Saccharomyces cerevisiae S288C: one gene and its partner. The protein of the gene in region 2 interacts with the protein of the main gene of each other region in a pairwise test. Each region holds a gene or a part of one and is shown on either strand. Other genes may lie near its edges.

Evidence for each region. Proteins that work in one complex are often made in the same cells at the same time.
Region 1: the proteins of FAR11 (region 2) and TPD3 interact in binary tests that used the Saccharomyces cerevisiae proteins (3 or more experiments, as listed by UniProt).

The regions. Positions count from the first base shown.
Region 1 is NC_001133.9:123,325-127,351, reverse strand, and holds TPD3 (protein phosphatase 2A structural subunit TPD3), read right to left. Parts: upstream 2,474-4,027; coding exon 566-2,473; downstream 1-565. Other genes in the region: bifunctional N-glycosylase/AP lyase NTG1, read left to right, coding at 1-449; serine/threonine protein kinase PSK1, read right to left, coding at 3,057-4,027. UniProt on the Saccharomyces cerevisiae protein: Phosphatase 2A affects a variety of biological processes in the cell such as transcription, cell cycle progression and cellular morphogenesis, and provides an initial identification of critical substrates for this phosphatase.
Region 2 is NC_001146.8:381,952-387,365, reverse strand, and holds FAR11 (Far11p), read right to left. Parts: upstream 3,380-5,414; coding exon 518-3,379; downstream 1-517. Other genes in the region: SPC98 (Spc98p), read right to left, coding at 1-139; TEP1 (putative phosphatidylinositol-3,4,5-trisphosphate 3-phosphatase), read right to left, coding at 3,703-5,007; NRK1 (ribosylnicotinamide kinase), read right to left, coding at 5,164-5,414. UniProt on the Saccharomyces cerevisiae protein: Participates in the control of the reentry into the cell cycle following pheromone treatment.

The DNA.
Region 1 (4,027 bases), on a different chromosome or scaffold from region 2:
AGGCATGGGGCAAGATTGAAGGTATCTGCGTTGACGTTCACGTGGATAGATTGACCAAGCTTTGGAAATGGGTAGATGCGCAGAAATGCAAGACTCCAGATCAGACAAGAACTCAATTACAAAATTGGCTGCCTAAGGGGCTTTGGACAGAAATAAATGGGTTGCTGGTTGGATTTGGACAAATAATCACTAAATCGAGGAACCTTGGTGACATGTTACAATTCTTGCCACCGGATGATCCCAGAAGCTCCTTAGATTGGGATTTGCAGTCTCAATTGTACAAGGAAATCCAGCAAAATATCATGAGTTATCCAAAGTGGGTGAAATACCTGGAAGGAAAACGTGAACTGAACGTGGAGGCGGAAATCAATGTTAAACACGAGGAGAAAACAGTTGAAGAAACTATGGTCAAACTGGAAAATGATATTTCTGTTAAAGTAGAGGACTAAGTGTGGTAAAAAAAAAAAAAAAGAAAAGAAAAGAAAGCAGGCCTAGTTGTTAATATGTATACTTTTTATTCATTCAAGTGTACATATGTGTATGTATGTATATATTTGAACTAGTATCAATTTTTTAAAAGTTCTTGACATTCTGCCAAACTTTTCTTAGCGAAGTATTTTACATCAACATCTTCGTCTTGACACAGCGTTTGCAATGAGGGTAAAATTGTGTTCTTAATTAATGCATCATATTTGGCCTCGTCCTTAATTAAAACCTTCACTATCACAGCGTAGGATTTGGCCACATTAAACCTAATATTTGGAACACCGTCATCAGCCAAGTGAGAAATGAATGGTAATAGTTGCTCAGTAACGACATCTAACGATACCACGGGCACCAAAGTGGTTAGAGCAGAGAGTATTGTGAACCTCGAGACAAAATTTTCCAGTAATTGTAGATCAAATTTGAGCAGTCTTGAAATAATTTCATCACGACACCAATCAGAGCCAAATATTTCCGTTAACCTTTTTAAATTATTCACTGCGGCTTCTCTGATAGAATAAACAGTATCCCACAACCATGAAAGACATAAATCGCTTAACTGTTGGTCAAAAAATTGCATACCTAATTGTTCTGCCAAGATAGGTATGTACTCAATTATAGCCATTCTAACTCTCCAATTCACGTCCTTGGCTAATTCTGTTATGGCAGGTAACAAAGAGTCTGATAGCAGCTCAATTCCTATTACGTCATTGACAACCTTCAAGCTGGCAATGATATTTAAACGAACGTCAGGGAACTCATCTCTTAGCATATTCAGTAAAATCGGAAGAAAATTGTTAATGACTTGATCTTTATTCAACAGTAATACAATATTTGTAATCTTAGAAGCCAAAGCAGATCTCACTGTTTCACTTTCGTCCATACTCAAATTCTGCACAGCAGGTAAGATCTTATTCAATATAATTGAAGGATCATTTAGGAACTTGGCAAACCCAGAAACTTGTTTAGCCACAGCTTCCCTAACATCTCCCTCGTTGTCCTCACAAAGGTTCAAAAATGGTTGTACTAATTCATCGATATATGCTTGGTTGGAACTGAATTGCGAGGCTAAATCTGAAAATCTATCGGCAGCCATGTAACGTACCCTCCACGCTTCGTCACCAATTAATTTGACAGCAGAGTTCAATAAATCTTGAGTGTGAGACTCATCACCTTTAGCGTTAAAAAATTTCAAGATGGAAATTAAACAATCAACTGCCAGAAACTTGACAGAATCTTGATTATCGTTAATGATTTTCTGGAAAATGTTAGAAATGTAATCCCAATCTTCGTCTGTAGATAATCCCAAATTTTGAGTCAACAGATCGATCAAGATGGGCAGGTTTTTACCGACGGCCCTTTTCACCATTGGAGTATCATCTTGAGCGAGTTGTAAGTATAAAGCCAGGATATTCTTTCTCAATGAATCATCTTTGATTCTAACAATAACAGACTTGAAAAGACCACAAGCAGAAACTTTTGAAGAAAACCAATCTGCAGTAGCTAAATGTTCAATTAAAGGGACGAAGTCACTAAATAATTGTTCTTGAGAAAGTTCTTGGGCCACGTTATTCAGAGAATCTACGGCCTTTTCTCTAACCAAAGTTTCTTCTGCAGATGCCAAAATTTCCAAAACTGGTAATAGGATTGTGGCGTATTGAGGACCGCCAATGTAGGGGACAAATTTTCCTAACTGTTCGGCTAAAACGGCAAACACCTCATCTTCATCATCTTGTGCAACTTCCGTTAAAAAGGGAATCAACTCGTTTCTTGTTCTTTCGGGACCGAGTGCCAACGCGATGGTATCTAGTTTTTTCATGGCTTCTACCCTATTAGCAATATCATCATGTTTTAACTCATCCATAAGCAGAGCCAAGGGATATAATGACTCGTTAGAGTCTGAGTCCTTAGAGTTTGACGTTGTTGATGTTGTTGATGTTGTTGCTGCCGAGGGCACGGCACCTGCCGTTGTTGATCTTGCTCCAGACATATTTCGCTCCTTTCTGACCACTCAATTATTCTTCGATAATCAGATACCAGTTGTTATAGTCGTCGAAATAAGTTCCACGTTAGTATTGTTGCTATCTGCCTTCCTTCGTAACTTAGTTCCCTAACACTTTCTCCTGTTAACTCTTTCACCTTTTTCGCTTTCCCTGCAAAAAGGGCATTCCGGGTATTATCGTCTGTAGTGATTTAATAATGGTAATAAGCTCTTTGCATTAGGAAGAGAATAGCAGTAGTATTGATCAATAGTTCATGTGGTATCAGTATTTCTGCTTTTAAGGTATGGTTTACTATGTAATTTCAATATTTACCCTATCTTTGTTTTCTAAATATGTAAATTTTTTATATTTAAGTCTTGATTAACTGCTTTGGATGCTGTATTTTTATCATATTAACATTTTGATTAAAGAAAGAAAGTACATATTGATTTATTCATATTTAAATAGAGAAAACTACCAACTCATTACTGAAGAAAGTAAGAAGAACGACATACCAAGCATTGTTTCTACTGGATATTTTTTTGCATTTTCTTTTCCAATTACTAATGTCCTAGAATGATCATTAATCCTTCAAATAACCAACCATTTGTCGTTATTTATGTCGTCAATGGTGGGTCTCTTCGGTACGCAACGGTTCAAAATACTCTTGATTAACTCAATGCAATCTTCACTAACTTCCTCTGCATTATTGAATTTCAGGTCGCCTTCTAATATTTCATCTATATTGTAGAAGGGGTTTTCTTTGAAGACCACCGTATACAATAGAATACCAATAGCCCAAATATCCTGTGGTTGGCCCTCATAAGGGTTTCCTCCTAAGACTTCAGGGGCAGCATAATCTATTGTCCCAACAAAAACATCAAATGGTCCGCTTTTGACATACGCAGCAGATCCAAAATCAATAATCTTAACAAAGCCTTTAGAATCTACGATAACATTCTCATCCTTGATATCTCTGTGAACAATACCCTGGTCGTGTAGATGTTTTATTCCCGCTACAACCTGCTTGAATATCAATTTTGCTTCAAATTCGGTCATGTTGGTTTTAAATTCAATTAGATCGAAAAGATCTATACATCCTGTTTCACCATGTACGGGAGTTTCGATATAATAGTAATCGTCGTCTTCAAAAAAATCCAGTAACCGTAAAATATTCTCATGTGGTTTTTTGTTCAACGTGGCCATAATTTGGATCTCAGAAGGTATAGTGCCTAATTTCCTATCTCTAACCCATGTATCTACAAGGATTCTTTCTTTAAAAATCATCTTAATCACCACAATATACCTATTCTTCTTATGAATACATAGGTTGACCTTACCATATGCACCTTCACCCATTTTTTGCAGACTTACGAAGTCCGAAAACTTCTTAACATGCTTTTGAGCACCGATGTTCTTTTCGGGGGTGCGTAGGAAAGTACTAACAGGTTGGTTTCCTCGCTTGTTAGTCATTATGATTCCGTCTTCGTCTTTAGGTGATCCCGCTAATCCGTTTTCTGTAGCGTTTTCGTCAATTAGCTTTTCCTCTTCAAGTGGAGAAA
Region 2 (5,414 bases):
GGCCTAATTGAGTTGCCGATTTGGTGGATGATCGCAGTAAATTGACTACATCAGATACAAATGTCTGCAAATGACTCTGCGACAATAATTGAGGAGCCAATGCCTCTATTATACCAAAAAGAGTGGGCTCTAGTTCCATATTGATTTTTCAGCTACAACTGAAATAGACTGTAATATATATTATGGTTATGCTTAGTATTCTGGCTCTTCTATTTCTTATATGCAGATGAAGCCATCAAATGAGTATATTTGTTTGTTTTGTTTAGTTTTGTTTACAAACGCGACGCATCAAAAATCGTTACCCGTATATATTATGATAATAGAAATCCAACAACGGTTGTCCTAGTATCCCACTTGTGATATGAAGATCCAATCATCACCATTGCGCGATCAAATAAACACTATTTAAGGGGTTTTCATGCTCCTCCATTGAAAACTATATAAACATAGGGAGGGATAGGAGATTGTTAATGACAATAACATCGCGCCCCGAGCCTCGGTATCCGTAAGTAGAGATTTAAATATTCAAATACTCGGATTCCTTGTTTAACAGATCTTGGCTGGAACTATTACGGTGTCCATATCCAAGGTCCTCCATAGATATTTCATAGTGTTGAAAATTGTAAAATTGAAGCAAGGCCCGGAGTGCAATTTCTTGACCACAAGCATCGCTCAACTCTCCTGATATATCCTTCCCTGTTACCCAATTATCAGTTAACTCCAGCTTTTCATAAAGGTAAACCCCCGATATCAATTCCATATGCTCGGATTTCCACCTCTTGTTTTTGAATGGTGTGAGTTCTCTTGTTATTTTCAATATTGGATGATACATGTCAAGGTTGAAGAGCCGATAATAGCGTTTAAATAGAATGCCGATGGAGAGGGGCAGCTCCTTTAACCTTTGTGTTTTATTCCCTGTGACTTTTCTCAAGATTCTTAACAGATATGCAAACGAAGGCATAATCTCCGTGTCGACCTCTCCTGAGTCATCTACTGAATAGGATTCACGATAAGACTCGTTAGAGAGAGAACACTCCTTCCAAAATGAATTCGGGGTTTGTACATATTTATTGAAAACCCTCTCTGGATAAACCTCAGAATATTTGCTTAAAATAGATGCGCATGTGTTGATGTATCGCGAATCGTGAATAACTACCGCCAAGTGTTCAAATTTCAAAATATGGCTTAACTTAAACCACTTCAATAACGCATGTAATATGCCCGCTGCTGACTTTAGGGACAATTCCTTAGCTCTCACGATCTCCAATTGGGGTGTCAGCATATTTAGAAGATTTTTATCGGAGACTTCACTTTTCCTATGAAAGTTATTTGTCAAGCTTGATTCCATTGTTTGCAGTAAGACAAAAACAAGAGAGTTAAAGCTCGAAAGGCAGCTCTTATAATATTTGTCAATTCGCTGCATAATGCAAATCGCACTTTTTTCCTCTTTTGAAGAGTTTGCATCATGATTAAGCGCGGCATAATCATATGGCTCATTTTCTAATTGCTGTTTCCAACCACGTTCAGTTATCATGAATAAGTCCCTTTCGTACCAAAGTTGTTTTGTACTCAGCTTAATTTCTAAACTCTCGCTTAATATTCTCGCTGCCTCTTCGGTACTGAATGGAATAACTATATCGTTATCAGGTTTTCTCTCTATATTTAAATCTATCCTATCTTCCAGAGTGTCATCTTCAGATCCTTCATTATCAGATGGATACAAACACGGATATGCCATGTTTGTTTGGAAAGATTTACGAGGTCTAGGACCTTCACCTAAATGCATTAATTGTGGAGAGCTTGGCGGTGAAGGAGCAGGTGTAGCAATATGTTTTTCAGGAACAATGAGCGCCATATTTAGAGGATTCTTTGATTTTGGACGAGGAATTTCCAGAAACTGGGAAAGAGATTCTGATTTGTCAACATCTTTAGGTAAGCCAGAACTGGGCATATTGTAATCAGGAAAACGGGAAGTAATGTCCTCCCTGAATGCTTGATAATGTAATGGGGAGATAGAAAGCTTTTCTGGATGCTTTGATGGATATGTTAAGCCATGGAGATTATAAATAGATGATTTGGTCTGTTTGTAGACAGAACTGTCACCAAATTGTAATACAATAAGCTTGAAGAGCAAAGAAATCATATTTCTTATGCGCATAGCTAATCTGCTATTCCACCTCCAATTTTCAATATACTTTGTTAAAAATTCCAACAAATCTGTTTTCTCAAAAGCGTCGATAACAACATTTACTGCTTCCGGATTTTCTCCTCTACCTTCTATACAAATACTGCATATGAAGTATAGGATTGTTGACGAATGAAATAGCAAAATTGTTTGTTTCTTTAAATTTCTGTTGTCATCCCTACAACTTATTGCAATCTTCTTGAAGGCATGAACAATTTCTTGAATATGAGGAACAAGCATTAAATTGTTGCGTCGTATAATCTTTGTATGCTCACTTTTGCTATTCGTAAACGCAAAGCATCCCATAGAAATATATGATAATGCGAGTAAATTAGATGCTAAAGAATTGGGGATGTCTTCAATTAAACATTCAACTACGCTCGCAGCATAGTTTTCATCATCAAAGAATAATTGTGGTTGCGTAATTTTCTGTTTAAACAGAGTCTGTGTCTGTCCAAAATGCATATAATCAGAGCTGCAAAACCATTCCGACAGTTCATCTTCCAAAGAATAAAACATCTTCAATTCCCAGTCCACTGCTCTTTGTAAAGCATAAGGTGCACTTGATCTTTCCTCAAGTGAAGCTGCGCACTGGTCAAGTGATTTCTGAAATTCTTTATCTACCGGCATATTATAATCAACTTCGCCCTTTTCATTGATAGGAACATGCTTGCCATCAGAAACCTTATTCAAATCAAAGCCATCCAGTTCATCTACATTAGCAAATGATTCATCCTCATTCTCCTCTTCAGCTTCTTCAGCATCGTCTTGAAATTCAACGGCGTTATCAGTATTATTATCTTTCTCATTATTTCTATCCTTATTAACGCCATCATCACTGAACTTAAAATTATCATTTTCATCACTACTATCTTGCTGTATATCTATGGTACGAATATCTCCCTCAAGACCTGATCTTGCCTTGAAGGTTAAGGCACTGATATTTCCATCTGATTTATTTCTTTTATCGGCATGAAAACTGTTTCTTCCCATGTTCAGTTTACCGCGCAACATGTTGTCCAAATCTTTTAGCAGTTCTTCGTTGCTCAATGTTCCGACCTGTGGTTCTTTATGTGAAGTGACTTCATCTTTGTACTTTAGATTGCCTTTGAAACTAGAGTTTCTCTTAAGATCTTCTAAAGACACAGACCTTATAATGGGGCCTTTGGAATGAGATCTTCCACTAGCATTCATTTTAGCGAGGCTTATAAATGAAAATTTGTCACTTAACCTTCTTCTTCGGCTATAAATACTAATAAAATTTCTCTACAATGCCTTTCAACCTACTCCTTGGTTCTCATATATTTCTTCCTGTTTCTAGAATGGCGTTTTGATTCATATAATTGACCGCTCCAAAAAATACCTGCCAGTAAATTAAAGTACCATACAAGAATATTGAAGAAAAGGAAAAGAATACATAATATAGAAAAAAGCCTACCAAAACAAACCAATTCACAATAAATATAACACTTTTAACTAAGTTTAACGAATGAATGGATTTGACGAAATGCATAAACCTATATAATTTCCCATTCCAATTTCAGTGCCTGAAATAATTTCAAGCCGTGAGTGCTGAGCTCCCCAAAACCGTCCAGCTCTTGCCAGCTTATGGTTGTCCCAAGCATTTCGTCTCTCTTTAACCTCTCTACTTGAAAGTAATCTGGCGAAGAATCGTCTTTAATTATGTGCATCAAAGTCTCAAGGTATATATTCAGCCAACAGCTGGCGCATGAAGTCCAAGATATTATGCTACTGGCGGCTTTGGACTTGCTGGTCCCCAGGGTAAATTCTATACGACAATCATTTTCCAGTGTTAAGTAGTCCCTACCAAAAATGAAGGTCATATTACCACCGCATTCATGCGCCATGATATCTGAATATACTACTTTTCGGGTTAGGAGGGCATTTCTATCATCGTTGTAGTGTTGAATCTTAGTAGTTACAATAGCAGACTCGGAAGTGATTAAGCTTGATGGGCGGAGGAACGTCATTTTAGCAAGCCTGAATTTAAATTTGAATTTTACCGCCTCATTAGAAATTCCTTCTTGGGCTGCTTTTTCATGGGTAATAAAAAACTCATGGTACCTTAAGTATCTTAATTGAGAGGGTATGGTGACGCCATTCGTCATACCATACTTGAATCTAGCCTGCATGAATATCAATCTTGCTTCTCCAAGAGGACACTGCAAGTATTTCATGAGGTATGCTACTGTTATCATACCAGATCGGCCTTTCCCCATTCGACAATGTAAAACAGCCACTCTATTCTTCGAAACGGACAGGTAATTTTCTATACCATCTACAATCTCTTCCAGCAGTTCAAATGGCGGTGGAAAATGATCTAGCCAACCGATCCTTTCACAAATTACATTATTGGTTTCTTCTTCGACCAAGGTCCTTGTTTCGAGATCAATGGGTGATATTGGTATCTTTCCATCATTAATCAGCGTCGAACGTAATTCTTGAATTTCAAAATCTTTGCTCTCAAACTTGGCAGCGATACCAATAAGATCATTATCTTTATAATCGCTGTCTTCTTTCTCACCTCTAAAATTAAAAATTCTAAAATTTCCCTTGCCATGGTACACTGTTAGAAACAATATTAAGTCATCCAAGCTATTCCTATAAAGCAGTTTTGGATACGTGTTTACCGGGTATGAGCAGACTATTAGATTAACTAAAATATATGATATATCTAATCTCAAACCTATATCGTTTTTAGTTTTTTTCATTGGTAAAGACAATATTTTCTTCATCAAGTTGACTGGTTTCCATTTAAGGAAGCCTTTTTCCATTTCTAATTCACTCCCCTCCTCTCTCATTTACACCAAAAAAATAATTTCAAAAATCGGGATGGTGTTATCAATATTGTGGTTCTGAAATTGTCTTATTTAAGTTATCTATCGAGGTACACATTCTTATTTTTATTGTTTTTACTTTTTTTTTTTTATACTTCTCATCGATTTTGTGGCGCTTTCCTAATCCTTACAAAGCTTTAGAATCTCTTGGCACACCCAGCTTAAAGGTTTCGCAATTGGAGTGTCATCATCATTTATGAACTCTTTTATATTCTTTGACTTCCTTGGGTCTAGTAAACCTTCTACGTCTCCATTAACAAATAACTGCGCATGATTTGCACGATAAGATTCATACACAAATTCGTCGAAATAATACGGCGGATCCACCCAGAAAGAATCCAAAGTCTGGTATCCTTTTCTGGAAGCCCTCC